Linked DNA regions of Oryctolagus cuniculus. The protein of the gene in region 3 purifies or fractionates together with the protein of the main gene of each other region. This does not show direct contact. Links are inferred from orthologs where the notes say so. Each region holds a gene or a part of one and is shown on either strand. Other genes may lie near its edges. The genes, in order: SNTB1, SNTB2 and DMD.

Region 1 (10,594 bases), on a different chromosome or scaffold from region 3:
TGTTTGGCTGAATCCAGGGTCCCTGACCCCACTCCCTACCTAAGATGAGAAATGAGTTCTTAGTGTGAACATCTCTGATCTTAAGTAATACATAAGGTATGCCAAATATTCTAGTCAAGTTTGAGTTACAGTTTTGTCTCCTTGCTGGCCATGGGTCTCAACATAGAGCTGGGTCAGATCAGCCACTTCCTTCCGACAGCTAGAGACTTAGTGCACTAGGTTTTGAAGACTATATCCTACTTCCTGTCCCACCCTTCTAAATAGTTCACATGGTCGCCGTTTCCTGCTCAGCGTTGAACTAAGCACTTCAGAGGATCTGAGGTGTGGAGGAGGATGCCTTGCACTGTGACTTCAACTGGCTCAGGCATACAGATCCACACAGAAGCACAAAGGTAAAGGTTAAAAGTACGTGCTTTTAAATCAGATCTGGAAACCTTCTCCCCACTTACTCCATGCAGATAATCCGATGTCTATAAACATTAATTTCCTAATCAGTAAAAGGAACAACACTATTACTGGCCTCAGAGGTACAATAAATATAACATGAACACCTGCCATAAAGCCTGGCACATATTAAGTGCTCAAGAAATGTTAGCTATTTTTATGACTCTTTCCCAAGATGCTATTTTAACTCCTGTGGCCCCAAAGGGATGATATCCCAGAATTAAAATTTTATTATAAAGAGTTGAATAAAAAAGATCAGTAAAGGAAGAGAGGATTTATCCTGTAGAAGAGGCAACTCCATCATATCACTTGAGTTGTAAAAATAACTCGCAGCAGGCATTGGGAACAGGCCTTTTATTCTTAGTGCTCTTTCACGGAGTGGCTCTGTAAAGTTGGCTGTTTGTCGCTCCCCCTCTTCGTGGAGGAACGACACAGGACCCTGCGCTGTTCTTTCGTCTGCTCGGCCCTCCCCGGGTTTGCTGCTGGTTCTTCCCGGGTTGGCTACTGTCCCTTCCACCTCCGTGGAAGGGCAGTTCCCCCTGGCCACATTCCCCACTTCCGCAGGGGAGCGGCACACCGCCGGCCGGTTCTCTGGGGGGCTGCACAGGTGTTCCCCTTAGATGTTCCCCTTAGATGTTCCCTGGTGCATGCCGTCTCTCTCCTCCTTTATAGTCCTCCTCTGCCAATCCCAACTTGGCTGCCCACACGCCGAGTACGCTGCTCTCCTCCAATCAGGAGCAGGTCCTGCTGTTTATTGGCTGAACTGGAGGCAGCTGGGTAGAAGCTGTTTTCTCCTCTCCCAGCGCCTTATTGTGGGAGAGCAGATGCATAGAATAAGTCTTAATTCCAGTAACTTAGTCTAGTCCGAGCTGCTCCCCACAGCTGTTCTTTTAATTTTTTAAATTTTTTATTTTTATTTGACAGGTAGAGTTATAGACAGAGAGAGACAGAGAAAGGTCTTCCTTCCATTGGTTCACTCCCCAAATGGCTGCTATGGCTGGCGCTGCGCCGATCTGAAGCCAGGAGCCAGGTGCTTCCTCCTGGTCTCCCATGCGGGTGCAGGGGCCCAAGCACTTGGGCCATCCTCCACTGCACTCCCGGGCCACAGCAGAGAGCTGGACTGGAAGAGGAGCAACTGGGACTAGAACCTGGCGCTCATGTGGGATGCGGGTGCCACAGGCGAAGGATTAACCAAGTGAGCCACGGCACCGGCCCCAAGTTAGCTGTTCTAATAGGTTTCCTTATTCTCATTTTTCAGATGAAGACTCAGGCTCAGAGAGGTTATGATAAATTCTGTTCCTGAACCAAGGATTAGCATTTAGGCAGCGAAATTCGCCAGTTGAGGGTTTCAGTTTTCAGGGTGTTCCACAGGTGGAAGCAGGAACTCCCCACTAGAGGGCACACGTCATGGAATGAGGTGCATAGTCATAGAGGTTGGGGTACTAATCTTCAACTCCCTCAAAAGACAAACAGAAAAGCAACCTATTAAAAACTGTAAATTTGCCACAAAATATCTTTAAAATATCTCCCTCAGCCACCATGTCTAACCAGATTACATTCCCAAAGCCTCTTCTATGTAGAAATTCTGGAATGAACACTGCATGTCTGAACAGGAGGAAGAATGGAAGGGACTTTCAAAACCCCTTGAGTTGGTTCTAACAAGTCACATCAACTGGGACTCTGCACTAGGCCAAGCCGCAGAAGAGAGGATTTCATTTGCATTTGACCTCACGGTGTGTGACTGCTGCCATAGCACCCAGGACCAACACTAGCTCATTAACAGGAGATTGCTTTATGCAGGACCTCCCCTGGCTCCTCTTATTAGATTTCGGAAAACTCTCACTGGGGATAAGATGCAGCACTGGGCACAGGTTGGTTCCTGTCTAGGAAGCCCACAGGTCTTGATCCTGAAGTATTGCCTGCAACATAACAAAACTTAAGAATGTCCTGTTAGAGATTTTCACACAACTCCCTTTTCAGTTGCTACCGATTTTTGTTTGTGTTTTGCTTCTCTAGGTTTATTTTCAACCACAGGGAGTCACATTTTCTTCCTCTTTTTGGATGGGAGTTTGTTTTGTTTTTAACCTCTTTGGTTTCAATTTAATGAATAATGACTTGGCAGTGAAAGAAAAAGGGACAACATACAAGATATTCTAAAATTAAAATAGCCTGGCTTTTGCACCTTCCCCCAGTATTCACAGTAAGTATTTGCAAATTGAAGAACTGCCCAACAGTTTAGAGTACAAGCTACACTTGCTGCAGATCCCACCTGTCCCCTCACACAAAGCAACACACAGTTGAATCAAAAAAAAACTTTGTTGTTTACTTATGTTAATCATCAAGCCAAAGCAAACAGACTTCCAGTTTCTGGATCCAGGGTGGTAATTAAATATAAAGACATCACAGATCCTCTAGACAAATAAGGGGGAGAAAAGAAGCCCTCTGTCTTCTAGGCCAAGAGGTGGGACTTCACACATTAGGGAGTTGCTTGAATTGTCACACACAGTGCAAAGTTGGTTTCCCAACTCTGAAGTTTCTCAGATTCACACACCCAGCACCCTGACTTACGTCCCGAGTTTAGAACTTAAATCGATGCCATTTCACCAAGTCTTGGTTTGAATATTGCTTCATAGCCAAGTTCCTTTCTTCACTCACAAGGTATGCGTGTCATCGGATACCCAAGCTCAGGACAGACCTTTAACTAAGTGAGGGACTCTGGACGATTCACTCTGTAAGGTAAAGGGGGCCTTGGATAAGTGGACAAACTACATTGTGGCGTCAGTGCCGGCAGAGGCACGCAGAGCGGGAGGAAAAGCAGGTAGCAAATGAGAAACGCAGCTACAGCAAAGAACATGTGCTCAGTGTACTATCTCACTGCTCTCTTCTCCTGCATAATGCCACATGCTCCAGAATCGGTACAAATCGCTATTTCTTCTATTCACACTCGGTGACGAAGGAATGAGAGGCATCAGACCACAGAAGATAGTTTCTAAAAAGTCCTTGCGCTCAGGGGAAACTGTTTCCAAAGGGCAAATTTGTTTCCACACCTTTCTGAAAAAGCTCCAGAAAATGCAGGCAGAAAAACCACTTCACCCAGCTCCAGCTCCGCACCCAGAGGAGCCAGGAATCCAGACTGACCGGCCAAACACCCGGCAGGGGAAGTGAACTTTTGCCTAAAATTGCAACACATCTCTTAGCCCTTGGCACAACTCCCCGGGCACAATGCCCGCTCTCCAAACTGCAGGCGGGAAATAGAGAAGGATGGACCGGAGTTTTGGCATTGAAATATTGCTCGCTCTCTCCTGCTCCTCCATGATTCAGTCCTGTCAGCGGGCTAGCGCAGGCTTCGGAGTGGGAAACTGTGCAGAACAGAAAACTGCATTGCTACCACCGAGCGGATCCGCTCCGCGACGCTCCCAACACCTCAAAGCCCCTTCCACTACACTTGGATTATCCGCAGACGAAAAGGAAACATCGCACACTAAGCATACCTTTTGGCCCTGAAACCCCGCTCGCCTGTCTTTCCGTGCACCCCCCTTGGGAGGGGCACGTTGCCCCAAGCTGGGTAAAAGTTGTCAAAAATCCCAAGAGCCGCCGCCGCCTTCACCTGCACGCACAGGGCCGGGTCCCTGGGGTGCGGGTGGGAAAACCCGCAGGTGCGTGCGGCCAGCGCGGCGTTAACCCCTTACCTTCCAGCAGCACCTCCTTGCCTGCGCGCTTCAGAGCCTGCACCGCCTCGTCGTGGGTAGCATCCCGCAGGTCGGCTCCGTTCACCGATAGGATGGCGTCGCCCACGTACAGAGCTTGGGTCTGGTCCGCCGCCAGCCCCTTGAAGATCTTGCTGATGAGGATGGGCATCTTGTTCTCTTTGCCCCCCTTAATGCTAATGCCCAAACCGCCCAACTCCTGCTTCAGCACCTTCACGCCGCGCTTCTGGTTCGAGATGGACTCGGGCACCTGCTCCGGGAGGTCGGTGAAGGCCGTGCGGACCCCGGCGGGCGAGTCCGGGGGCTGCGCGCCGCCCGCGCCCTGGTGCCCGGCCCCGGCACCCCTGCAGAACGAGCCATTGGTGGCTGCCCCGATGCCGTTGTACGCCGCAGCGCCCTCCTCGCAGCTCAGAACCAGGGCGTCTTCGCTCAAGTTCACCAGAACTTTGTGCCAGCGATCCCGCACCAAAACTTCCAGCAGCCCGCTCCGCTGAGCCCGGCCGCTTCCCCCGCCTGCCGGCCCAGCCGCCGCCGCCGCCGCCGCCGCCGCTACCGCCATCTTTCCGGCATTCTTAAAACGCCATGTGATTGCAAAAGGGGGAAAAGTGGGGAAGGGTTGCGGGGAGCAGGACGCGGGGTCCGGGGCAGAGAGCAGAGCGCGCCCGGTGCAGACGCGGCGGCGCGCGGGACTCCGCTCCGGGAGTTCGCAGGCGCACTGGGCGCGGGTTGGCAGCCGCAGCGGGGCTGGCTTGTTCCCCCTCGCCTGATCCTGGGCGGGGTGGAGCAACCTAAAAGAAGAAGGAGAGACCTAGACAGGGGAGGGAAAAAAAAAGGCAGCCAGCTGCTAGTTGCAAAACCCCTCGCCAAGGGGAGCCGCGGAACAGCTAGGCGCTGGCTGGAGTCCGTAGGGCGCCGCACGCTCCGGGAAGGGCGGGGACCGCGCACCCTGCCGCCGCTCACCTGTTCCAGCAGCCGCAGCGGTCACTCGCCGCCACACCCCGCCAGACCTGGGCACCCGGGGACGGCCACCCCAGCGCCTTCTGCGTCTCACGTCTCTCCACTCGCCGCAGCCCCCTTTCCTTTACCGTGGGCGTCCTGCCTGGGTTTATCCAAGTAGATCCTCCCTATCCCTTTCCCTTTCGCACCCGGCGGGTAGAATTGTTCCTTGGTCCCTGGTCTCCCCAAACCAGCGCTTCACTCAGTGCTTACCTGTCCCTCCTTTCAAAGGGACTCTCGGGAAGCTAGGTAGGCGCAGACCGAGGGCCTGGGCGATCCCAGGGTCAACAAGGAAAGCTGCCCCCGCGGTCCTAGAATAAAGCGCGTAACCCACGTGTCTAACCCTCTTCTTCAATGCAACACATCTGTTCTACTCGGGCTCTGGAGCGGTTTCTCCTTTGGCCTGGGGTTTTCAACAGGTCACAGCCTGCCTGGACCCCAGGGACAAACGTTCTTCCAGCTGGAATTCATTACGTGCTCTGTGCTTCTGACCTGTCTCTCCAGCCACAGTCCCACACTGAATGCTTCATGTTGCTTTCTCCTTCTTGAGACACCATACAAGAGCTCTCCTATTCAAGAACTCAGATGGAGTATCTTGCATCTGCAGGGTTCCTTTGCTTGTTACTTATTTGCATCTCGTGTTGCATTTTTTCAGGGTAACAGTGTTAGTTTTTTGGATACCTTTCCTGGCCAATCCGGAAATGCCAACATAGTCCATGCCATAGGTGGATGTTCCGGAGTTCCCCTGCCCTTGAACTTTTCAGGTTTTCCACTGCCTCCCCCAACACACACACTGAACCAGTGGTCTCAGGGTCCATTCAAAGCCCTTCTTAGCTACACTCCCTTCCCACTCTTCTTTCCACTCTCTCCAAAAACAAAACAATATTCACAAATTTATTAATCCCTGAAGGTAAAGGCAACACAGCAAGGCGTCAGAAGGAGAGAACTCTTCCTGAACACCTGATGTGTCTTATCATTGAAAGTTCTTAGCCCTCACACTTTTAATCAGGGATGCTTAAAAACTCAGATGAATTCCTAGAGAGTGGAGTTCCAGCGAGGGCCACAGAAGGAACTGAAAACACCTGAACATTTTTTTGCAGATTGGGCAGAGCCCTTGGATTAATGCTTCCACTTACCGCTCTCCCCCATGCCCTTGTATTATTTTTAGCTCATCAACTTCTAAAAGCACTTTATGCCTTTATGTAAAGGTGCCCACATCAGGGATGGCAGCTCCTGGGACTTTTGAGCCTTTTGTGAGGTGCAGGACCAGACAGGGAGCTAGCATGGCTGGCATAACTGTTTTGAGAAAAAGCCACCTGGGGCTGGCCCTCTGCTGTAGAAGCTGAGGACTCAGGAGCCTCACTCTTCAGGGGCTATAGAGTGTCTGCATCCTAACCCAGATACACTGAGGTTGAGATAGAGAGCAGAAGACCTGGGTGAAGATTGAGAAATCAAAACCGATCTGCCCTTGGACCAGAAACCCTACATCAACAACCTGCCTGTGTTTTTTTCTGTGGCCAAGCAATGTGGGAGGCCAAGATACAACCACAGCTAGTTTATCAATTCACTATAAGAAATTGCAAGCTCGGCTGGTGCCGCAGCTCAATAGGCTAATCCTCTGCCTGCAGCAACGGCACACAGGGTTCTAGTCCCGGTCAGGGTGCCAGATTCTGTCCCGGTTGCTCCTCTTCCTGTCCAGCTCTCTGCTGTGGCCCCAGTCCTTGGGCCCTGCACCCGCATGGGAGACCAGGAGAAGCACCTGGCTCCTGGCTGTGGATCAGCGCAGTGCGCCGGCCGTGGTGGCCATTGGGGGGTGAACCAATGGAAAAGGAAGACCTTTCTCTCTCTCTCTCTCTCTCTCTCTCTCTCTCACTGTCCACTCTGCCTGTCCAAATAAATAAATAAATAAATAAATTTTTAAAAAAGATTATTAAGAAATTGCAGGCTTTAGGATGGTATTTCTAGAATCTCTGTGAAAAGCACAATTTTTTTTTTCTGTGTGAGAAAACCTATGTGGAGAGGAGTATGTTGTTTATTGCAAGTTGTATCAGAATGAGGGGAGATAAATATTTAATATAATTAGGCCTGAGGCATGCATGTTAGCCAGGCATAGCTTTGCCAATGGAGGGTAATTACAGCCTCTGTTCTAAGTGCTTTACATATATTGTAACTCAATCCTCCAGGCAATTCTTGGGAGTACTTACAATTATATTCTTTCCCATTTCACAGATGAAGAAGTAGAGGTACAGGCTTAATAACTTGTCCCAGTTAAGAAATTCATAAATGGCAGAGTCAGGATTTGAAAATAGGTATGAGGGATCTGAACTCTTTAATCACTGTCTCATAGTCTCTTGAAAATACTCAAAGCCTATTAGCTACAGTGCCTGTGTTCATCTGTGCACTAAGCCCAGCCTTCTTATGGGGAAACAGACATTAAAGCTCCCTTCGCTGGGTCATAGGTAGAATGGTAGAACCAGCTGTGGTCTGTGGGCTTTCCTTTTTTTTTAAGTTGACACTTAATAATTGTACATATTTGTGGAGTACAATGTTATTGGATTGATGCATTATTATGTAATGAACAAAGCAGGGTACTAGTACATCCATCACATGGTATATTTATCATTTCTTTGTGGTGAGAGTATTCAAAACCTTTCATCCAAGGTTAGAGAGCACCCAGACCTCCATACTGGACACATCTTTTTTGTTTCTTTAGACATATTAGTATACCAAAATTGGTGACTATTGTGATCTTGTGAGCTTAGGAGATTTGTTGGATTTTTAAAAATTTTATTTATTTCATTTTATTTGAAATTATTTTAAACTCAGAGTGGAGCAATGAAGGACCCAGGCCACATAGTAAAATCCTTGGCAATTCCACATTGAGGTTATCCCCAAAACCAGTCCAACTTTAGCATATCAGAAAGTATACCCAAACCTCCCTTTTTATCAGGTTTCTTCCATTTAGCTCTACCACCTGTTATATTTCCTCTTTCTGTCCTAAATTTTGTCTCCCAATACCCTCCTATCCAAAGTCATATCCTTTTGCTCCTCGCCCCTCCCTCCCCACCCCCGAGATGTGCTTTTTCCTACAGAATGGACAGGACTTAGATTCATAAGAGCATGTTGGTTGGTGTAGTAGAAAGAATAGTGTTCACCTGTTCATCTACAAAGTTCTGTTGTGTACATACTGACAAAAGAAATGGCTACTGATTAGAACACATGCTCCAATATTTAGGTTTAGAAATATGATCATTGTACTTTTGATATTATTTCCTTAAGAAAATAATTGAGCACTTTTTACAAAGATGCATTGACTTATTTGAAAGGTGGAGTTAGAGAGAGACGGAGAGTACTTCCATCTGCTTGTTCACTCCCCAGTGGCTGCTGCTGTGCCTGCAAGAAGCCAGAAGCCTGGAAATCCATCTGGGTCTCCCACACGGATGGCAGGGATCCAAGCAGTTTGGTTTTCCTCTGCTTTTCCGGGCTTATTAACAGAGAGCTGAATTGGAAGTGGAGCAGCTGGGACTCTAACCAGTGCTCATATAGGATGGCAGCGTTGCTGGTGGTGGCTTAACCTGCTGTACCACTACCCCAGCCCCAAGAATTAAGCAAATCTAGGGGGATTTTTCCAATGCACAGAACAGAGAGCGGACACAAGGTGAACAGTGTAGAAGAGGACTGGGAGAGCTATTCATTACCTGGGGGGTATTGAACAGAAAGAAAGAGGATCAGGAGAGTCAGCTGAAAACTGCAAAACCCCTAAGGTAAGGCCTACCTGTGTAAATCCAAACTGATTAAACTTTCTTAGTAAAGAACTAGGGGAGGGCTACAGGCAGGCCCACCTAGAGATGGAAAGCTGAAAAGACAAAGGAACACATGGATAGAACAGGGTGGATGTCCTGCTGAATATGAAATGAGTTGGGCGCGTTTTCCAGATTTCAAATCTATTTAATGCTAGATAAGTAGTTCATGACTTAAAGATAATGCACTGGGGCCAGCGCCCCGGCTCACTAGGCTAATCCTCCACCTGCGGCGCCGGCACACCGGGTTCTAGTCCCAGTCAGGGTGCCAGATTCTGTCCCGGTTGCTCCTCTTCCAGTCCAGCCCTCTGCTGTGGCCCGGGAGTGCAGTGGAGGATGGCCCAAGTAATGGCCCAAGTACTTGGGCCCTGCACTCGCATGGGAGACCAGGGGAAGCACCTGGCTCCTGGCTTCAGATCAGCACAGTGCTCCTGCCTCGGCGGCCATTGGAGGGTGAACCAATGGAAAAGAAAGACCTTTCTCTCTGTCTTTCTCTCACTGTCTACTCTGCCTGTCAAAAAAAAAAAAAAAAAAAAAAAGATAATGCATTGGGAAGGGGGGAAGTGCAGGAACAGGAGGCGGAGCAGTTTCTTCTCAGGTGTGCCCAGTTGGCTAACAGGTACCTCATCATTTTAGCAGGGTTAGGAGACACCTGCATATGCCTCTGCAGGTCTTTGGTAAACTAGATACACCACCGCTGACTTTCAGCCAAGCAGTTGGGCAGGTGAGCATTTTGATTGCTCACTGTGCTTAGAATTTTGAGTGGGGAATTTTTCAGGCTAGCATAAATTGTAACTGTAAAGTAATTAGTTGTTTATCTCCTATCTTCTTGAGTTCTATACTTTTTACTTTCTTCCCATAACAACCTGGTATTGAAATAAACTTTATATCACTATTTTAATATCCACAATATAAATTTGTCATTTTTCCTAAGGGCTTATATTTTATCCTTTTTGAAAACTGTGGAATGGTAGGTTTGATTGCATCTATAAGAATGTCAAACATAACCAATGTGAAATTCTAGGAGGCAAGATATCCCACCATATCCTAAAAACTTTAGCAAGTTGGCCTAACTAAATAGAAAGATGTAGGACAGTGATAAAGGATAAGAAATCAAAGTTCTATCCCCCATATACTACAAAATTAAATTTAAAATAACTAATTCAGGATCTTGCTAAACTACTCTTGAGATTCCAAAAGAGGTTGGCTGTCAAATTACTAGGAGAATTTTTGCCGAAAGGTGTCTGTGTCTGAAGAAATCTTTCTGTAACTCCTTTCTCTGCTGTTTCCATTTCCTTTATGGAGTCCTTTCTGTGTACCCTCCCTCATCCATGAGAAATGGCAAACTTCCTTCCTTACTCTGCATCAGAATCTGATAGTGCACTTTGTTTATAGATCACCCAAATAACTCCTTCCTGCCACGGAAGTTGCCCCCCAGATATCCTCTCTGTTAACTCTTTGTCCATCCTATGGCTTACAGTAGTATCCCTTTGCTTTCCACAGTTTCAATTACATGTAGTCAACTATGGTCTGAAAATATTAATGGAAAAATCCCAGAATGAAACAATTCATAAGTTATAAGTTGCTATTCTGAGTAATGTGACGAAATCTCATACCATCTCTGTCATTTCTCTGTGTAGCGTTTCT
Region 2 (10,722 bases), on a different chromosome or scaffold from region 3:
GTAATTTTTGAAAGGGAAAGACTAGACGGCAGGGAATGAATATACATCAGCTGAAGCCTGGGTATGTTTCCTAAAGGTGTTCTTAGAATGTTCACAGCTACTGTGTATTAGAATCAATCAACTTCTCATATTTTGGAAATAACTTGGAGGGCATATCATAACATCAAGGCGACTCTGTAAGAATCTGGTTACAGGGGCTGGAGCCGTGGCTCACTTGGTTAATCCTCCGCCTGCAGCACCGCCATCCCATATGGGCACCGGATTCTAGTACTGGTTGCTCCTCTTCCAGTCCAGCTCTCTGCTGTGGCCTGGGAGTGCAGTGGAGGATGACCCAAGTGCTTGGGCCCTTACACTCGTATTGAAGACCAGGAAGAAGCACCTGGCTCCTAGCTTTGGGTCGGCACAGCGCCAGCCGTAGCAGCCATTTGGGGGGTGAATCAATGGAAGGGAAGGAAGACCTTTCTCTCTGTCTCTCTCACTGTCTATAACTCTGTCAAATAAATTAAAAAAAAAAAAAAAAGAATCTGGTTACAAAGGCAGCTTCTCATAAACATGTTTAATCATTCAAGTGAAACATAAAGAGGCTAATTAAAAAAAAGAGAAGCACAAAAACACAAACAGTCAATAATTTAGTTGCTCTTTAAGAGACAGGCTATAAAGCCAAAGAAAATGTTAAATGTTTTCCCTAGGAAACTAGTTCAATATACAATGAAGAAAGGGAAGCAGTGGAAATCCAAACCAGCTTCTTTAACTTAGCAGCCTAATAATATCAGTAATATTTGTTTAAAGTCTCCTGACATAGAAGGTCACATTATATGAAACACTCAGAATCTCAAATCATTCCAAATACAAAAATCACCGAGGCCTCGCAGAGGGAAAAAAATGGATATAGGAAAAAAAAAAGTTATTATGACTTTCCAATAATAGTCCAGTGACAACTCCTTCAAAAGTATGGATCTTTACTCAGATCTCAAGCTGGATACTTTATACCATCTTCCCAAACCTCCTCTGGAAAACTTTTCAACACGTAGTCTAACTCATATTTATTTAGTCAGCTTCATGGCCTTAAAAATATAAATTCTAGAAATCTCTTGGACTTATAACACAAAAGGACACAGAAATTCCATGTATAACATCTGACAGATGAGCAGAATTACCCCTTTATGCTAACAATCTGCATTATTAATAGAAAGGCTACTTATTCTGCATGACCTAATACCAATGTTAACAAGTACTAGCCCAAACTGTGAGTGCATACTTAATGACAACTTTTAAGGTTCTGAGAAGTAAATGTGAAAGGAAGTGAAAACTATAAAGGAGAGGAAACTAAATGCAAAATTAAGGAATAAAAACACCAGTATATGTAAGAAATAGTAGAAAAACAGGAAAACAAAATTAAATAATATTGGGTGCCATAATCTTTTTTTTTTTTTTTTTTTTGACAGGCAGAGTGGACAGTGAGAGAGAGAGAGAGACAGAGAGAAAGGTCTTCCTTTGCTGTTGGTTCACCCTCCAATGGCCGCCGCGGCCGGCGCACCGCGCTGATCCAATGGCAGGAGCCAGGAGCCAGGTGCTTTTCCTGGTCTCCCATGGGGTGCAGGACCCAAGCACCTGGGCCATCCTCCACTGCACTCCCTGGCCACAGCAGAGAGCTGGCCTGGAAGAGGGGCAACCGGGACAGAATCCGGCGCCCCGACCGGGACTAGAACCCGGTGTGCCGGCGCCGCTAGGCGGAGGATTAGCCTAGTGAGCCGCGGCGCCGGCCCTGGGTGCCATAATCTTGCACCTAAGACATACAAACTCATTCTTAACCTGTTCACAGAAAACAATTTTTAGCATGCATTTCTTTTCACTAAAACGAGGCTTGGATTTTATTTAAACGATTTGCTATCAGGGCTCTGTGACAGGGCCCTGTTGTTAATTTAGGGTGTACCCAGTGCTGCTTGCCTCACCCAGACTTTCCTTGCTGCTGTTGGATACATACATTGTCAAGTGAGTAACAACGCTTTGAGGGAGGTATTAACACCATCCTGGTATTTCGAGGAAGCTGAGCTTGAGCAAGATTAAGTAACTTGCCTAGGGGTTACAAACCACTGGCCAGAAACCTGCTTCTGACCACAAAGCCCTGGCTCCTATTCGACCCCTGCTGGATACAGCACCGTCTCGGTGTCTTGCACTTCTGTGTCTTTACTGGACCCACTGCTCCCTTCTTAGGAGAAGGCTCAGCTTCAACTTCCAGGCACCCACAACCTCCCACTAGGAGCTACTCCCATCGAGAACCCATATACACCTCCCCCTCCTTTATGCTGTGTCCTCTCCAGACTTCACTGTAACAGTTCTTTATTTGTCTGCATTCTCTCACCACCAACCTGCCCCTGCCTTCTCTCCCTCTTACCCCTCCCCTTCAACTCTGAACTTCCTGAGGGCAAGAATCCGGTATCTGCAATGTCTCTAGCCCGTGAGGAAAGCTGAATAAACATGAAAGAGTGAAAGAGTGAGCAATCCTTACAAATCCCTGAGATAAAATAGAACCCTTGAGCTCTGTTCCCTCACCCCAGGCAAACAGAGACTACATAGCTGTCCTTGGCATGGGGGTGGCAAGAGCATGCCTGAAATGCCCTGCCACACCCCAAAAGGGCATCACTGACTTCTAAGGCAGCTAACAGAAGGAGAGTGGAGCTTAAAAACTTGAAGGACTAAGAATAAAATCTGTCTCTTAAAAATAGCCCACGTGGATGGGACAGCGGCTCTGAGACTTAAACAATGTTTGACTGATTCACTCAAACCATGGTTTGTGTTTGTGTGTGATTTTGCATATTTTGAGTAATTCTATTTTTATACGCCTTGGTTTAAGAATTCAGCATAAACCCACCATACTGACTTCCCCATACCTAGAGACAGAAATTATAAGAAAAAGAGGGCAGATTGGTGCCTCCTCACACAGGGCACCCAAATGTAAGAAAAACAGAGAAGAGACAGAATACAAACTCACAGCCAGGCCGAATTTATTCAGAGAAAACAAATCTGCAGAGGTGGGCAACCAACTGCCAGTGCACACACAGACTGAACACGTGGCAGAGGGCCCAGACCCTAGGGGCTGGGCCTTTTTATGTCTTAGGTGGGCTATGTCTCTGTTCCATCAGAAACTGCTTGTCTTATACAAAATGGGAAAATAAAATAGTCTACATATTAGGTGAAAAGGCATTTAATAAGTATATTAATTATACTGCAATCTATAAACACTCTTGCTAAAACCACATGTAGCCTAGTTTAGACTAATGAATACTGAGAAGAATTTACTAAGTGGTTTTCATTTTACTAGTATGAATTTCAAGTTCAAACTACATCTAAATAAAAACCATTGTTTTGGTTTTTGCAATACAGAGTAAGAGGTTGAACTGTTTGCCTAGTTCCAGTGAGTACTACATAAATAGCACTAAATTCAATATTGTGGTTCTAAGAATTTATAACCAAATGCTTAGCTAGGCTCATTTTAAGATACATATTTAGGATGATTTTTTTACACACAACCGACCATTCTGCTCCTTTTATTAATTCGAATTTCCAAACTGTGTCTAGCCCCACCTCCAAATGAGATATAAATAAAATTTATAAATAGGGCATTAAAAAGGTGGGACACTGGAATTTCACAACTAGAGCACATTTTAAATCATTTACTTGCAAACTTAATATTTTTTCCAAATCTTTGCAAGCAGATCTGTAAAAAAGCAAAAGTCATTTTGCCAAAGTTAAGACTCGATTTGTCGACTGGTCCCCCTCATCCCAGCCTTCCCCCGCTCTCTTACACTGCCAAATATATCCTCCTGACTAATCTCTGCCAGTACACGTCCATCACTTCCTCAGAGACCCAGCGCAAAACTCAGACACTTGAAAGGGTCCTCCCTGACCAATCGCACTTCCATTAATGATCTGCTGACTTCGCATTCCTGTGGCATTCCTATATAGTTTGCACCACAAAATTAAAAAGTTGATTTTTTTTCTCCCCCAAAGTTCAGCATTTTTCTATTATTTCCCCAACCAGAGACCAAACAGGGACAGGAACGTCATTTTTCCTCTCTTCCACGCAGTCAACAACACACGCTTCTCAAGGACTGAATCAACAGTTCAATTTTTGAGGGAAGCAACTGACTTCTCATTTACAATTTCGTGTAAAAATACCAAGTCCAACATCCATGAAGCCGGAGAGAATTCATTCTGCCCTAGCTCCATAAACGCATCATCAAAAGCTCCAACCTATAGATCACACACAGACCGAAGACTGTTTAAACGCTGTTTTGTGCTTTGCCATTTCAAGTCGCTTCGACAAAGCCTAATAGTCTCGGAACAGCACGCCTGTGAGCGCTAGGAAGCTGGCAGCGCTCTCTTGCAAAAGGGGCAAAACTCTGGTTGGCAGTGAGTGTTGAAACACGTGAGCCTCCACGGTTAAACAAGGCTCATTAACCACACAAGACTTGCTGCTTCAGCTCTCCGGCTTCAATGGAGTTCTGTGATCTCCGCCGGTTATTGTTGAGAGCCAACGATGGGTTAAATTCCCATAAATTAACTAACGTTTTGGTGGCTTGCCCAAGCACAACTGCTGGCATCGATGGAGCTGGGTTTTATTTTTATTTCTTTAATAGACCCGCCCGCCCAGGGGAGCCCGGAGGTGAGAGCCGAAAGCGCCAGGCCGGCACTTCTGAGCGGGCACACACGCAGAGCTGCGGAGTCGCCGCGTCGGGTCCCGCCGCAGCTCTTAGCGCCAGCTTAGCGCCGCCGCCTTCGGCTCCATCTCCGCCGAGTAGTCCTGCCCAGGGGCTGCAAGCCACACGTCGGCGGCGGCCGGCCCAACTTTTCCTGCAAGCAGCATCAGCTTTTCGACACTCAAGAGTCCCAGGACACCGGCTCCGAGGGATAGGAGGAGGGGCTGGGTCAACCTTGCCAAGGGGGCAGAAACAAAGTGAGCGCCGGACGGCGCAGCCCGGCCGGGCCCAGGCCGCCCCCGCCCGCCCGCCCGCCCGGACAGCCGGCCCCGCTCACCCTCCAGCAGCACCTCCTTGCCCGCGCGCTTCAGCGCCTGCACGGCCTGGTCGTGGGTGGCCTGGCGCAGGTCCGTGCCGTTCACCGACAGGATGGCGTCGCCCAGCCGCAGAGCCCGGCTCTGGTCGGCCGCCAGCCCCGGGAAGATCTTGGAGATGAGGATCGGCATCCGGTTCTCGCGGCCGCCCTTGATGCTGATGCCCAGGCCGCCCGCCTCCTGCTTCACCACCCGCACCCGGCGCACGGGCGGCGACGCGCCCGCCTCGCCCGCGGGGCTCCGCGGCGGCGCCGGCGGGCTCGGGGACCCCAGGCCGCGGCTCGGGCTCCCAGGCAGCGAGTCGCCGGCGCCGCCGCCGTTCGGGAGGCCGTTGAAGGCGGCCGCTGCCGGCCCCAGAGCGGGCTCGGGGTCGGCTCCCGCGGCGTCACCGGTCAGGCTCAGGCTCTCCCCGCTCAGCTCGGCCACCACTCGGACCCAGCGCTCCCTCAGGAGCAGCTCCACCAGCCCCGCTTTAGTGGCCCGCGTCCACACCGCCATGGCCGGCCCCGCTCCCGCCGCCGCAGCTACCCTCATTCCAGTCAGGCAGCCTCAGCGCTTCCCCCTTCCCGCCCGAGGGGGCGGGCCCGGCCCCTCCCCCGCGGCGATGCATTATTCATGAGGGACACGCCCACCTCCCGGGCGGGGCGGGGCGAGGCCGGCGGAGCGGCTTCCGGGAGGTTAAGAGGCTGTCCTGCGCCTTACAGCTCCTGGGACGTGGGTAGCCCCCGGTGGGGGGTAGGGGAGGCTCCATCTCACACTCTCCTCCCATTGCGTTCCCTACAGGCCCCCAAACTGCTGACCTCTCCCGCGCAATGCACGGGAGCTGCGTAGGCACAGAAAGTAAAAGCAGCTTGGAGAAGCACCTTGCAAGCCTGCCAGACTAAGTGGCACGTTCATTCTTGCTCTGGTTTACTCTGTTCGTGTGAGCTGTGCACTCGGGCCCCTTCTGTGGCGCTGGCCATAAGCTGAATCAAATATACCACACCTGAAGCTTGCGGTCTGGTGGGGAAGGAAAATGCAGAGCCAACCCAACGAGCTGTGATACTATGTGGTTAAGTGATGTATAGAAAACTCCCCCGGAGCAGACTAAAAAGGGCCTCCGTTTGGTCCCGGGGTCCGCATCACAGAGGCTGACAATGGAGGGTGATAGCTGGAGCAGATGGAACAGCATATGCATGGTCTAGAGGCATGATTCCAAGACGGTGTCACCCTGCTTCGTAATCACCCGTTTTCTTGCCTGTAATTAGAGGGGGACGCTGTCTTCTTAAGTCCTGGGGCCATACCAGGCGGGCTTCAAAGATGTTTGCACAATGTATCAGCCAGGCTTCTCCAGAGCAACACTTCAGTAGGATATACAGACACACTAGAGATTCATCCTGAGGAACTGTCCCTAGACGGCGACCCCGAGTACCAGGATCTGCCACTGCAAACTAGAGCCCCAGGGAAGTTGATGGTGCGGTTCCAATCCCACCACTGAGCACCTGGAAACCAATGCTGTAAGGCTGAGACGGCAGGCCCCCAGAACGGGGTGGGGCCTGGAGGTGTGGTTTCAGTGTTGGTCTAAGAAATAGGGGCAGGAAACCGTGAGGAACTAAGCAAGCCCCAGCTCCGGCAGTGTGCATGCACCCTCCCTCTGTTCTGTTCAGGCCCTCACCTGATTGGAGGATACCTGCCCACATTGCTAAGGGGAATCTTTATTCAGTTCAGCACTCACACACTAATCTGTTCCAGAAACACCCACACAGACACACCCAGAAATAATGTTCCGCCAGCCATCCAGGCATCCCTTAGCTCAGTCAAGTTGACACATAAACGTAATCATCGCACATGGGTACTCAGGAAGATGACAGAATTCCAATGTGAAGAGAGCACAGGCTCAGTGGGTGTGTCTGGATTTGAATGTGAAAAGCCTCATATCAAATATCCAGGAATTTGGACCTGACTTTGTAGAGGGGACTGTCCTATCCTAGAGGCCATGGTCTCGTGTTGGGGCAAGTACAGATGGGCAGCCTCAGGAACTGTAATGCAAACTTTGGACTCTGAGGGCCCAGAAACACACTGCTGAAATCGGAAACTCTCGGGAAATTTATGAGGTCAAGATGTTCTTTAACTTTCCTTCAGCAGCAAAAGCAAAATCCCTACTCTCATTTAGGCAGCAACAGGCTGTGAGAACAGCAGTGTGCAGCCGTCCCTGTAAAGGGCATTGGTTTCTTGCTTGTTCAGGATGTACACGTTGAGGCTCGTAGGCCATAGCCATGCATCATTCTGCAAGTGCACGTGCATGTGCAAGCAGAAGCTTACAAAGAGCTTCCTGCACCAGGAGTTAAACAGTATAAATAGAGACTCGGAAGCATCCAGAGTCCAGATGAAGAATTAAAGATGAGAAAAGTACCTTACCAAAGAAATCATGATGACAGAATCTCCACTGCAATTAGTGGAGCAGGCTTTTCCAAGTTGCAAATGTCAGCAAAAGCTCAACCTTCCAGCCCTCTCCTAAATCAGCGGCACTGGAGTCAGCTCACTGTTCTAGAGGTCCCGGCGTGCCCAAGTGCACCTGCAGTCACAGACATTTCTGGCTGTGCGCCAGCGGAGGCATGAGCCCCAGGAGACCTGAGTTATGGGAAATTTTTGCTTATTAGAGAGCATTTGGCAGTGCATTCTTTGGAGTTTGAGCGTTATTTTTAACACCTCTGCATATGTAATCACCCAAAGGTTGCACATTTGAGGACACCTTTATTAGCAAAAGGAAGTACTGGAAATTTTTAGAGTATTAAGACCTTTTTGTTAATAGAGTTGAAGGAAGTTACAGATCTTCCAACCAATAGTAAGTGAGAGTACTTACTTAAGAAAGCAAGTTATGTAACAAAATATTTAATCCTAGGAGAAGGTAATGGAGATCGGTATTTGGATTATTTCCATTAAAAAAAAAATCCCCAACTAGGGCCTGGTGTTGTAGTATGGCAGGTAAAGTCACCACCAATAATGCTGGTATCTCATATTAGTGTTGGTTTGAAACTCAGCTTCTCTACTTCTTAGCCAGCTAGCTCCCTGCTAATGCATCTAGGAAAGTAGCGGAAGACGGCCCAAGTGTTTGGGCCCTTGTTCCCATGCGGAAGACCTGGAAGAAGTTCCTGGCTTCTGGCTCCAATTTGGCCCAGTCCTGGCAATTGCAGCCATTTGGAGAATGAACCAGGGGTTGAAAGATTCTCTCTCTCTCTCCTTTTCTTCCTTTCTTCTCTTTCCTCTCTCTGTATCTCTGCCTTTCAAATAAATAAATAAATAGTTTTTAAAAAATCCAAATTATCAAGCTACATTTATAAGGCCCTTCCTCAGGACCGAAATGAACTTTTCAACATTCTCATCAATACTTCAGGATTAATCAAATTCACCCAGTGTCTCCCAGTGGCCTGGTCCTTCCTTTCCCATTGTTTCTTTTTAATATGAAGAGCCTGTTAAGTATAATACTTTTTTTTTTTTTTTTTTGACAGGCAGAGTGGACAGAGAGAGAGACAGAGAGAAAGGTCTTCCTTTGCCGTTGGTTCACCCTCTAATGGCTGCCGTGGCTGGCGCATCGCACTGATCCTAAGCCAGGAGCCAGGTGTTTCTCCTGGTCTCCCATGCCAGTGCAAGGCCCAAGGACCTGGGCCACCCTCCAATGCACTCCCTGGCCACAGCAGAGAGCTGGCCTGGAAGAGGGGCAACCGGGACAGAATCTGGTGTGCCAGCACCGCAGGCGGAGGGTTAGCCTATTGAGCGCAGCGCCGGCCAAGGTTCTTCCTTTCAAATACCTCCTGCCCCTTAGACTCCCTTCCCACCAATCCTGACCACCCAATTGGCTAGTATTTTTTCTTTGACTAATTTAATTATATGCCTGGTTGGTTTGCCCAAAGAGATTATAAATTATAGCAGGGCAGGGACCACCCATCAACTTATTTTTATTCCCCACTATTCTAAAAATATTGCCTTGCAGAGAAAGAATTCATTAGACAAGTGATGGATTGAAATTCAGTGCTTCTTGCATTGTAGTCTTTTCAAGTAATCCCTCTGAAAGTTATTGGTTTCTCGCAGAGTGAAAATTGCCATCCAGGAAATCTCAAGGAGTTCGTGGAAATCTACTTACTGTGGATAATGAAATCTGAAACAAAAAGAGTATACATCTGTTTCCATGGTTTCTTAAGGACAGTGAGACAAGCCCAGATAATTCGTTAAACAGGCATGTTACTTTATCTACCTCTAAAAAAAGGAAGTGGTTGAGATAATTCCAAATAACTTCATTCCTGTCACCTATCAGTATCTATTCTCCTCTGATCAAGCTGTTATCTATTTCTCAGAACAGGCAGGGATCATTGCTACTTTAAACAGGGAGATGGATTTGCTCTCTCCATTCTCTGATTTCATCCTACAATCCTGTAACTCAGGCTCTGATCTACGCTGTCTCACATCCAATAGTCTTCCCTCACCTCCTGTTCCCTCACAGTGAAATACAGTATAGCATAATTAAGAGCCTGAGGTTCAAATTCTAGTTCAGCCACTTATTAGATACTCAGCAGATAATGGTCAAGGTGCAGTGGTCATGGGCCAAAGTTTTCCAAAAAAATTCAGATACCTTCTGCTTCCAAGGGTGGCTGTGCGGGAATGAGTAGGATGATACACACAAAGCCCTGAGGGGCATGGGTACCCGTCCTGGGTGAGTCCTATAAAGAGTACAGGCTGCTGTTATTACCACCTGCTGAGCTTCAGCACAGCAACAATAAAACCCTTGGGAGAGCCACTCCAGCAAGAGTCTATATTTTTATCTAGGAATAGGTATACCATGATGCCACTTGGTTCCAGGCTTAAAGGGCAAATGGCCAGATTCATGCTGGTGACAAACAGATCTCGTATAAAGCTACAGTTCAGGGAGTACAGGTTGCCAAGAGTCCGTCAAATGAAAGAATTAGTGGATCTGGGGCTGGTTCCAAGGCTTGAGTGTTGTGTAATTTCATAAGGAAGGAGGGCCCCAGGCAAAATTGCAGCCCTTAGCAAGCCTGGAGGTCACTGCCACAAAGATGGCGTGATGCCAGGAGAACAAAAGCAGGAGCCACTGGACTATTACTAAAAGAAGAGGCCAAGAAGAGAAATGAGCTTTGTAAACAAACCTATCCAACATCCCAACTTTTGAAAATTATCTTAAGTCTTCCCAAATTATTAGACGGTGAAATCAGTTGTCCCTTTTAAGAGAGAGTACTATGCTGCTTGGGAGACGTAGTCTAAAGTGCATTTTCTCTCCAACATAAATAGGTACTGAGAGAGGGAAAGGTGCATATATGTTTTAGCTGATGCGAGCACATTTTTAAACTCATCCTGCCAAGACAAATCACAGTGCATCTGAAATCCGCAAAATGGATTAACTATCTCATGCATTATGACTATGAAAACCCACATCTGCTAACCACATTCCTAATGGGAAGCAGCTGGTGACAGTTTTGTAGTGCTGTGACTTTTCTCTTTAGGAAAATATTAGCAAGGACATACTTGACAGCTTAGTTTCATTGATTCCACTTAGTTACAGAAAATCACCAATGTTTTTTATTGACAATCATGGAAATTACATAATTTGCCATGAAATTCTAATGTCTAAAAATAAAAGTCTATTCTCTCCCATCCTC
Region 3 (10,828 bases):
GATAAGCTTATTCTAAAATTTATGTAGTAAGACACAGGACCTGAAATTTCTAAAACAATTTTGAACATGAATAATGACTAAGAAGGAACAATAATATCTCTATCCCAATGCGGAGGTTTACATTATAGCTGTGTAGTTAAGGTGGTGTGGTTTTGGTAGAGGGGTGGACACATAAATCAATAGGAGAGAACCATTGTCGCAGAAATAGACTCGCAGGAATTTTCCCATTTGATTTTTGGCGAGGTTTCAAAATTAATTCCATGGAGGAAGGACAGTGTTTTCAATAAGTGGTACTGGGGCAACCAAATATCTAGACTAAAAAATCATCAAGTTAGATCCCACACCTTATAAAATTAGCTCAAAATGAATCCAATTAAAATGTAAATAGAAAGTGATAAAAATGTTAGAAGAGGGGCTGGCGCTGTGGCCTAGCAAGTAAAGCCGCTGATTGCAGTGCTGGCATCCCATATGGGTGCCAGTTCGAGTCCCTGCTGTTCCACTTCTGATCCAGCTCTCTGCTGTAGCCTGGAAAAGCAGTGGAAGATGGCCCAAGCCCTTGGGCCCCTGCACCTGCTTGGGAGACCTGGAAGAAGCTCCTGGCTCCTGGCTTCGAATCGGCACAGCTCCAGCCTTTGCAACCATCTGGGGAGTGAACCAGCGGATGGAAGACCTCTCTCTCTCTCTCTCTCTGCCTCTCCTTCTGTCTCTATGTAACTCTGCCTTTCAAATAAAATAAATAAATATTTTTTAAAAATGTTAGAAGAAAAAAATAGAGAAAATGTTCATGGCTTAAGGCTTGATTGAGTTCTTCAACTGAAATCTCACAGTGTATCCCATAGTAACTTTAAAATAAAATACATGCTATACAAAATGTATATCAAAATTTGAAAACAATTCTTAGACCTGACACCAAAATCATTGTCCATAAAGGAAAAAAATTGAATGATTTGAATAAATTTGATATTTTTGCCTTATAAATATCCTTTTTAAAGGATGTAAAGACCTGTTACAGACTGGGAGAAAATATTTGACAACCATGTATGTAACATAAGAATCATATCTAAATTATATAAAGCACTCTCATAACTCATTGGTTAAAAAAAAAACAAACAATGCAGTTAGAAAATGAACAATACATATGAACAGATTTCACTGAAGAAAATATTCAGGAAGAAGGAAATAGGAAGTTAACAATCAATGGGAGTAAAATCTCACCTAAGCAAGCTGAGTAAATTCTAGAACTCTGCTGTACAATATTACATCTGTATTCAATAACATTGGATGTACACTTAAAAACTGTTAGAGGGTATAGCCATAATAACATTTTATTGCAATAAAATAAAATTATTAAAATAATATATTAAGATAGCAAATAAACCATGTTTAATGCCAGTACTCATTAGGGAAATTCAAATGAAGGCCATGGTGATTTAACCCTACATGCTTAAGGCTAAAACAGAAATATAAAAGTGAGAACATCAAATGCTGATGAGAGGGTAGGCATTTGACCTAATGACTAAGACACTATGTGACATATTTCAGGGCCCAGGTGATACCTAGCTCCACACCTGACTCCATTTTCCTTCTAGTATGGACCCTGGAAGGCAGCAATGATGGCTTAAGTAGTTGGATATGAGAGACCTGGATTGAGTTCCCCACTCTGGGCTTTGGCTCCTGGCCCAGGGGCCAATGGATATATTTGAGTGAACTAGTGGATTGGGGAGTTTGTTCTTTCTCTCATAAATAAATACTTTTCAAGTGCTGGCAAGGATGTTAAGAAATTGGATCACACAAACATTGCCAGTAGAAATGTAAAATGGTAGAGTCACATTTGAAAGTGTTCTGTCGGTTTCTAAAAAAAAACTAAATATATACTTCCCATAAGGCCTAGTAGTAATACTCTTGAGCATTAGTTTAGATAGATGGGAACAAAAACCTGTACATTATTATTTTTGAGCTTTATTTGTAGTAACCATAACCTAGAAAAAAGTAAAATGTCCTACAATAGATGATAAAACTTTCATAGAATGGAATGTATGATAAACCATAATAATACTAAGCAAAACAAATCAATCTAAAAAGGTAATATGCTGAATAATTCCATTTATCTAACAATTTTGAAATGATAAGCTTATAGTGGTAGAGAACAAATTTGTGAATTGAATGTCAGCATTTAGGACAATTGGTAAGGGTTGTTAGTGTGACTTAAAGGGTTTGCATGAGGACTGTCTTATGGTAATGGAACAGTTGTCTACTTGACTGAGATTGTGGCTACACAAATCTGTACTTGTGAAACTATTATTTATATATATATATGCATATATATAATATTAATGTCAACTTGCTAGTTTTAATATTGTATTACAGTTATGTAGGACGTAGTCTTTGGGAAAAACAGGGGGGAGGTACATAGGACCTCTATACAATCTTAGCAACTGCCTAGGAATCTGTAATTATTTCAAAATAAAAATGAATTTTTCACAGTCCTTCTCTGCCAGTAGTTCAAAACAGGAACTTGAGCAAGCTCCTTGACCAGTCATCTTTATAATGGAGCTCCTAAGACCTAACTGATTTCATTATTGTGATGAGTAAATGAGAGAAATAAATGACAAAAGCCACAGAAAATAGTGACAAGGTCTGTACAGGAGTTCACTGTATTTGGGTTAAATGTTTTCTTATATGCCTTTCTCTTTAAAACCTTAAGGAAGGTATATGTATTCCACACTATGCAGAAGTTATTACAGATGCCAAATAAATTCTGATTACTGAATAAGAATAAAAGATAGTTAAAATGTATCAGGCATTCAAAAGCTTTCTTTACCCAGGGCACATTTTTGGTATATTTGGAACTACAGTTATTTTTAGAAACATATGCTTCAGGGTTTCTCAAAGTTGATGAAGCATTAGAGTCACCTGTAAGACACAGAGTGTTGGCTCATACACCAACAGTTTCTGATTTTCCGGGACTTGGGTATACTTGCTTTCTTTAAAGTTCACATGTGATACAGAATAGCCTAGTTTGTGAACTCAAGAACTATACATATGCCTTGTCTAAACATGAGTTTATAGAAAACTCAAAGTACAAGATGTAAAAGAACTTATACTCTGGACAACATTGTCCGTGAAAGTTCAGGGAGATACTTATGCTAATGAGCAGATATGAATCCAAATCAGCCCCAAAACATTTTTTTTCATTTTGTTTTAAGAAACTTTTGCTTATATGCATATCTCTACACTAAGGAGAGAAAATGAGATGGCCCATGGAAATGGTGTTTTTAATCTATTTTTAATCATAGTGATTTACATAAAATTACCTACAATTAAAATTAGACTTCATGTTTTACTTTATATAGAATTTGACAGGCAAAATGGCAGTATTATAATGATGGCATCCTAAATATAAAATTTATAATTGACTATTAATATAAACATTATTGTCTGATTCAATGTGTCATTTTTATATTTATCCTTTATTTATTTCTGTGCCAAGCAATTGAAAGCTTGACATAGAAAAATGAGTCTGTCACTTTAACAAATGGTACTATAAAAACACTCAAACAAATAGTTTTAGTAGGGATTATTATGATAGCAACACGAATATTTTTCTAGAAAGTGTTACCAATGTTTCCTATAAATGTTGGGCTCAGTTGATAAATAAAAATAGTAAGGAAGAAGATGAAGTCTTCCTTTGGCAGTGAATGATTTACAAACATGCTGGATGACACATTGTATTGGATACAGGCAAAAAAAAGGCTCTGTTGAGAAGCATTAAGTGATCATTAGTTAAATGCGTAAGAGAATGATGTTTTAATAATTTGCACCAAAGAAATTTAACAAGGAGTCATTTGTTAGTAAAGAATTCTTATCATAACCACAATTAAAATGCAGCATTTTAAAAGCGGTTTTGTTCCCTTCTAAGTGCTCTTTATTTTAGCAGAAAACTTGTTCCATGAGACTAACACACATTCTGCCTTCAGAACTTAGCTGCTACATTCTGCTGTTGCTTCTCTTATTCAGACTGTTGCAATCATCCATATACAACTTTTGATTGGATCCTGATGGTAAAAATTAACTTTGGTAGACAGTGGATACATAATGAATGCATAGATCATTCTGGGCATACCGTTGTATTCAGTAGAGTGAAGTTTTGGGGGTTCTTGGAGGGGAGAAAGAAAATCATTTAAAAGTTCATTCTGGATCAGAATTTTCAGCTCTGTTGTTTTAGAAATTTATGTAATGTTCTAGAAAATATTGTTATGGTTTGTTACTGAAGGCTTTTTGTCTTCAGAAGGCTTTGAGAGCAAGTACTTTATCCACTGTGCTATTCTGGTTGGATACTGATCACAACACAGTTGAGCATTATTTGAATTCACTGGGCTTTCCATGCTGGGAGCACAACCTTATATGTAGTGTCCATGGGCAGTCCTATTATGGGAAACCAACTTGAGAGAAAAGGCGGGTCACTTGCTTGTGCGCAGGTCCTGGAATGTGAAATATCCAAGGGCCTCTACAGAATCCTGGCATCAGTTACTGCGTTGACTCACTCAGTGTTGGGATCACTCACTTTCTCCTTACAGACTCAGAACTTGGAGGCAATTGCCTTCAGAGAAAAACAAATAGGAAAAACTGAAGTGTTATTTTTTTTGAAAGCTGCTGAAGTTTATTGGCTTCTCGTCATTCCTAAGCCTACTGGAGCAATAAAGTTTGAAGAAATTTTTACCAAGATTTTTATCACAGCCTTGATATATACTTTTTTTCCAAATGCTTTGGTGGGAAGAAGTAGAGGACTGTTGTAAGTACAAAGTAACTAAAAATATCTCTTACTGTGGTGTAACTTTTTGTTTGTGATAATCTCAATGATTAAGCAGGTTGATTTTAAATTATGGCAGCTGCTCGTGAATAATCTTAAATGTTCTATATACTGTATATATATGTATATATACTAAGGTGTATGTACTTCCCATTGGGAAAACTTTCAATAAGAAATGAGGTATATTTGGGTTTTTTTCAATATAGGCAAAAACATCTTTCTTCTTTAAGAAATCACTAGATTAACAGAAAATGTATAACAGGTCTGGAGTATTAGTACAGAGCAGTTGATTTCTGTGAAATAGTTTCTATATATATGAGTTATTATTTTGATTATTTAATACTTGTGTATTTAGTGGTGGTTCCATGTAGAGTAGTGACCTGACATATATTCTCAGTGAATTAACTGCTTTGTTGGAATGATATACAGGCCTAAAGATTAGAATAATGTTATGTGGCATACCTTGGTGGGGGGACAAAGAACAAAATTGCGTTGTGATGGATAAATGACAGATGCGAAAATATTGATAAAGGTTTAATTTCCTTTCTCACATTATATTTAGTGTTTTGAATTCTTTTTTATAGCATGAGAGATTTTTTTTTTTTTCAAATAAGTATGTGATCTACACTGGCAAATGACCAGTCTCTTGATGAGAAAACAACATAAAAACTTGAGGGATGTCTCATCATATTTTGTAGAAAACTGATCGTGTTGTTTCATGACTGTTGTGACCAACTAATTCAGTAAATATTTTTATTAACTTCTTAAAAAAAGAAACTATTTTGTTTATGTTTAAGAAAGTCATGATGACTAATGAAGAATTTAAAAATTAACTATGGCACAACAGTAAAAATGATATATAAGGACACTGTGTCCCAAAGAGGTGGTTGAAGGAGATTATCTTTTTCTTTTCCTGCCTTGACATGTGAATTATGGTCATTCTGAAATAGATATGAAGGTAATGTCTATAATTAACAATGAAAGATTAAATCTCTCCAAATAAGTAATAATATATCACAACTTCTACAAAAAGAGTCAGAAGTTTTGCCACAGAAAATTTGTGAAGTAAATAAGCACCATTCATTTCTTAATTCACATTAGATGGTACTAGATTTCATTAATATGACTTTTTTCATATTGTGTCCTTCAAAAATTTCTGTGGTGAGCATCAGCATCACTTCCTGATTGAAAAACTATTCCATCTAGTAGCATTACAAAAATACACATAGCTACACATGTATACAAATGCATATTTCCCTTGCTATTTCTAGTTCTTTCATATCATTAATCTATCAATATTGTCAAACTTATGATTGATTATCTATAGCTAATAAAATTAAAATACACCAATACATAGAGATATTTGGAAAGTATCACAAATATGCAATTCTGGAATGAAGTAAGATAAATCTATACTCTTCTTTGTCATAGATATTCAAATAACTTTTTAATACATTAGAATTTGAAAAGTTGACCTTAAAAAAAATGCTCCAAAAGGAGCATTTTAAAAACAGCAAGTAATACCTTTGCAACCTGACAATGAGTTTAAGAGAAAATAGAAATATTATCAGGGTTATATTATACATTAATTTTTCTATTTGACAACATGCTATTATTTGAGTGTTTAAACATTTGAATCCACGTTGTAAAATTGCCTTAGTATGAAAAACTTAAAAGAGCACATTTGATTGCTTTTTGACCAAAGTAATGGCCCTTTAAGAATATCACTGTAGTAATACACATATTGTTTGCTTTTAGAATTACTCAAATAATCCATTGGAAACAACTGCTCAAATAATTAATTGCAAATAGACATTTCATTTGAATTTTTAAATGATGCAAAGCATCATGAGATGTAATAAAATCACCTTTTAAAATTTCATTTGCAAAGCCCTCTTAGGGCATTTAACTATGAAAAAGAGGTTGCTGAACTGAATTGATAACATAGTTTTTAAGATAATAATCTTTTGGTGTCTCTTACATGGCATAACATTTTGGAAAATACAATAGAGCATGTTATTTAGATGTTACTCTTTTTTTAAAGGATGACCAACTGAGTTTTGCAAATTTAAGAAAAAAAAATTCTAGTTTGGACAGAGCTATCAATACAGCTTCCTCTTTAGTACTGTAGTATTTATTTGAAATCCTTGTAGTCCACCATATGCTACATGTGAACAAATTGTCAAGTTCTTAACTACTTATGTGATTTAATAAAATAGATTAAAATCTTTGTCTTGGAAAGTCAAGTGCTTTTTAAAATTCTATTTTATCTTTCATCAAGACTTTATCTAAACAGTAAAACAGACTGATATCCTAACCTCTCCCTCAACTTCCAACTTCTACTGTAATATTTTTACTTATTAAAAATAATTTTTCATGTTTTCATCAAACTATTCTTTATTTCACATCTACAAGTTATGTGTGAGTGTGGTGTGAGTATATGTGTTTATATATATGTAAATGCACACAATTTTAAACCACAAAGTTCTAAGTTTCAGAGGCTGAACAATGATTGGAAATTTCTTTCTTTTTAAAAAAAAAATCTATTTACTTATTTGAAAGGCAGAGTGACAGAGAGAAGGAGAGACAGAGAAAGAAAGATACCTTCCATCCACTGGTTCACTCCCTAAAGATCTGCAACTGCCAGGTGTGGGCCAGACCAAAGCCAGGAGCTAGAAACCCCATCCTGCTTTCCTACATCCCAGGTGCATGAGCAGGGAGGTGAATCTGAAGCGAAGCAGCCAGGACTAGAAACTGCACTCCAGTATGGAATGCTGAGGGCACAAGCAGTGGCTTAACCCACTGCACCACAACTCTGGCCCCTAGAAATTGATCTATCTTTAAGGGTAATTTTCTTTTCATGTTTTGGTGATTTTTTTTATGTTAAAGACACATCATTTTTAAATAAATTGACAAATAATGCTAATATATGTCCTCTGTCCAATAGAACATAATTAATCAAGAAGGAACAAATACAGGACTTGGCGGGGGTGAGATTATACAATTTGGAGGGGGATGAGCTGTTTTAAGAAAAATAATAAATAAATTATGAATAGCAAATCAGCTAGGGCCTTGGGAAGGGCCCACATAATTAAAACTTTAATAGTTTCATGGGAAATCACCTATGTTTGAAGAGACTCATGGAGTAAATCTTTTCCCAGTTACATTTTAAAATAAAATTAATACTAGTTATATTTCTTTAAAGCATATATTATTTCTCAAAGACAACCTTTTATTTAATGCAGATTAGAGAGTTGAAAGAATTTATAATGATAGGAATTTGACATTTCTGCCTTTCATTATGAAAATATACATTGATTAAAGTGATGTCAAACTCAGTTAATGGAGGCGGTGCAGTTATTTGAGATATACAGGGTATGCAATTTGAAGCCAAGCCAAATCACAATGACAAGGAATAATGATGACCTTGGTTTATTTTTATACAGCACATTCAGGTTTTGATTGGATTCAGAGAGAGGCAATGGTTTTCTTTCTCACACTGTTCTGCTGTCGTCCTCGGAGGTTTGTATTCTGTTATCAAGGCAGTTGGTTCATATTGGAACATTTTTTTGGGAAGGTCATAGGACACAGTATGGAAAAAAGACATTCACTGAAACCAAGTTCAATATTAGAATTTATGAAAATGTTTCTCTTTGAGTAGTATGTTCTACACAGAATACTGTTCTTCAAAAAACAGAAAAAGAAGCAAACATAAACTTTGTGGCCTTTACTGCCCCACTTAAAACAGCCATGAAACTTCTTTGCTTTTCATGCTATAAAATATAAACACATGTTTGGAGTTCCAAAGTTTTATTTTAATGGCAGATATGGAAGTTAAAATGGCAGCATCATAATGTAGTTTACTCTTTTGCCTACTTTAGAGGGGTTTGTCCATTTAAATTCCATATAGTATTGTCCCTAAAATCTTTCTAAAATTTCAAGCACCCTCTATTTAATATTAAAAGTGAACAAGCCTTGCAGACAATCTGATATCCCCTTTTGAATGGGAGAATCTCTGTGGTGTATAACCCCTATGCAAAATATAATTACCACATTAACAACTAATATGAGTTTGCTTACTTAAAATTATATAAAAGATTTATTTTCTTCCAATGTTACTGCATATTATAATATTCAATGTGCTTTCATAAACCAGATGGCTTCTCCAGAGATTCTTAACTACTTCAACACCCAGGGCCTGGTCTTTCTTTTTCCTCATTCAGTATTACTGACCTGAACCTGGAAGTGAGAGAGAGACCTAACCAAACAAAACTAAAACCTGGAATCTGGTGCTTTAAGGGTATCTGACATTTCTCCACAACAGTTTTGAAAGGCAGCAAACAGATGAGAATGAAGAAAAATGTCCCAGATGGTTCATGTTTGAAAGAGTCATCCACCTGATAACCATATAACCTCCATCTCATGCCCATTAAAAATCTAAAGGGTAGTTGTTCCCTGCCCCATTGCTCACATCTTCCACTTAAGACCTCCATTTTAAGAGAGAACTTTTGTCTGCCTTTGAGCTAAATATTTTAATCTGATATCACTCATGAGAAATATTTGGTGATTTCAGTAGGTAAAAGAAGGCATGAAGCAATTTTCAGAGGCCCCACAACCCCCAACAGTGGCTCTGCATAATATATGTGATGATATTAAGCCCTAGGAAAACAACTGTTCTGAGCAGTCTGGACTGAGTTTAAAAATCAATTTCTTCCTGCTCTCCTTTATTATCTTTTGCCTTCTGCCTCAGTGCCTCCCTTTCACTCTGTCATTATGCACCCCATTCTTCACTAATGGAAAGTGGGAGAGAAGCGACAATTATCCTTTAACTGGAATGGAACTGTCATTTCTTTCCTATGCTGACAAAATGTTGTTGCTGTTGTTTTACTTATGCTTAAATGGCTCTTCCAGAACTGCTAACTCAATATTTTGACTCCATATAATTTTAAGGAAATAATTGTCAATATGTTTAAAATACTGGAAAATTGATTTTTTTCATGTCAGTTTTGAAAACTGGAATATATCTAGGGCTCATTAAAAATATTTACTGACTTTACATTACCGTTTAAGTAAAAGAGTCTGAGGAAGAGCTTTGCTTCTATTTTTATTCTGTTCATTTCATTTTGGCTTATGTGTTTTATTCATTTTTAGTATAAAATTGTGGTTGTTTTAGTGACTAGGAAGAATATTAAAATATTATGAAAGTCAACACTTATTCATATGATAAAGTGAGAATGTAGACAACTTAATGGGTTTTGAAGAAGGTGAATGTAAATTTAAAGAAACTTTTTAAAGAGGTTTAAATTGTTATGCTTTTAGTTTATATTTAGTAAATACTAAAACCATACATGAGAATAACAATGAAGAATTGACATATGCCAAAATATGTGATCTTTTGCCAATTTATCTTCAACTTTAGATGTCTCTTCAACTTTAGATGTCTCTTCAACATCATAAAAATTAATTTTTAAAAAGCCCTGTATTAATTGAGCACAGTTAGTTTATAGGATCCCATATTCTTCCCAATTATGGGAAAATAAAGGGGTAATCCTTTAAATGTTTTTACCCTCTCTTTGACTTTTGCTTTAAATTGCTCTCCCCTCTCCCATTCTGTTTTTGGCTAAGACTGTTGGAGAATCAGGACTATAAAAGGGCATAAACATCAGTAGCTTTTTGCTCATTCCTGGCACTCATCGTTATTAGCACACAACTTGTCTCCTCCTTTATCAGATTACAGTAGCAATAGCACCTTAGCCTCAGCTAAGTGCTGACTTAAAGGGCAAGGGAGTCAGCACACTGTTACAAGTGCAGATTTTAGCCTTGGGAACTGTGTGAGGATAAATTAAAGGAACAAGACAGAAAAATCACAGAATCTGATCTGCACAAGCATTTTCATCAAAAGCAAGTTGAGTAGTTTCTTTCTGTGTTGGTGCTTAAGAGTGCAGGATTCAAAAAAAATTGGTGACTAAGTGGACAAAATATTATCGAAATAGTTGGGAAAGTGGAAAAAAATCTGCA

Evidence for each region.
Region 1: the proteins of DMD (region 3) and SNTB1 purify together in Homo sapiens (co-immunoprecipitation; 4 studies listed by BioGRID and IntAct, counting the BioPlex papers as one, with this or other methods). This does not show direct contact. The link is inferred for Oryctolagus cuniculus from reciprocal best matches to the Homo sapiens genes DMD and SNTB1.
Region 2: the proteins of DMD (region 3) and SNTB2 purify together in Homo sapiens (co-immunoprecipitation; 4 studies listed by BioGRID and IntAct, counting the BioPlex papers as one, with this or other methods). This does not show direct contact. The link is inferred for Oryctolagus cuniculus from reciprocal best matches to the Homo sapiens genes DMD and SNTB2.

Annotation. Positions count from the first base shown.
Region 1 is NC_091437.1:146,578,852-146,589,445, forward strand, and holds the start of SNTB1 (beta-1-syntrophin), read right to left. Parts: upstream 4,932-10,594; 5' UTR 4,711-4,931; coding exon 4,134-4,710; intron 1-4,133. UniProt on the Homo sapiens protein: Adapter protein that binds to and probably organizes the subcellular localization of a variety of membrane proteins. May link various receptors to the actin cytoskeleton and the dystrophin glycoprotein complex.
Region 2 is NC_091449.1:52,274,413-52,285,134, reverse strand, and holds the start of SNTB2 (beta-2-syntrophin), read right to left. Parts: upstream 5,661-10,722; 5' UTR 5,609-5,660; coding exon 5,038-5,608; intron 1-5,037. UniProt on the Homo sapiens protein: Adapter protein that binds to and probably organizes the subcellular localization of a variety of membrane proteins. May link various receptors to the actin cytoskeleton and the dystrophin glycoprotein complex.
Region 3 is NC_091453.1:19,804,192-19,815,019, reverse strand, and holds the start of DMD (dystrophin), read left to right. Parts: upstream 1-3,975; 5' UTR 3,976-4,761; coding exon 4,762-4,792; intron 4,793-10,828. UniProt on the Homo sapiens protein: Anchors the extracellular matrix to the cytoskeleton via F-actin. Ligand for dystroglycan.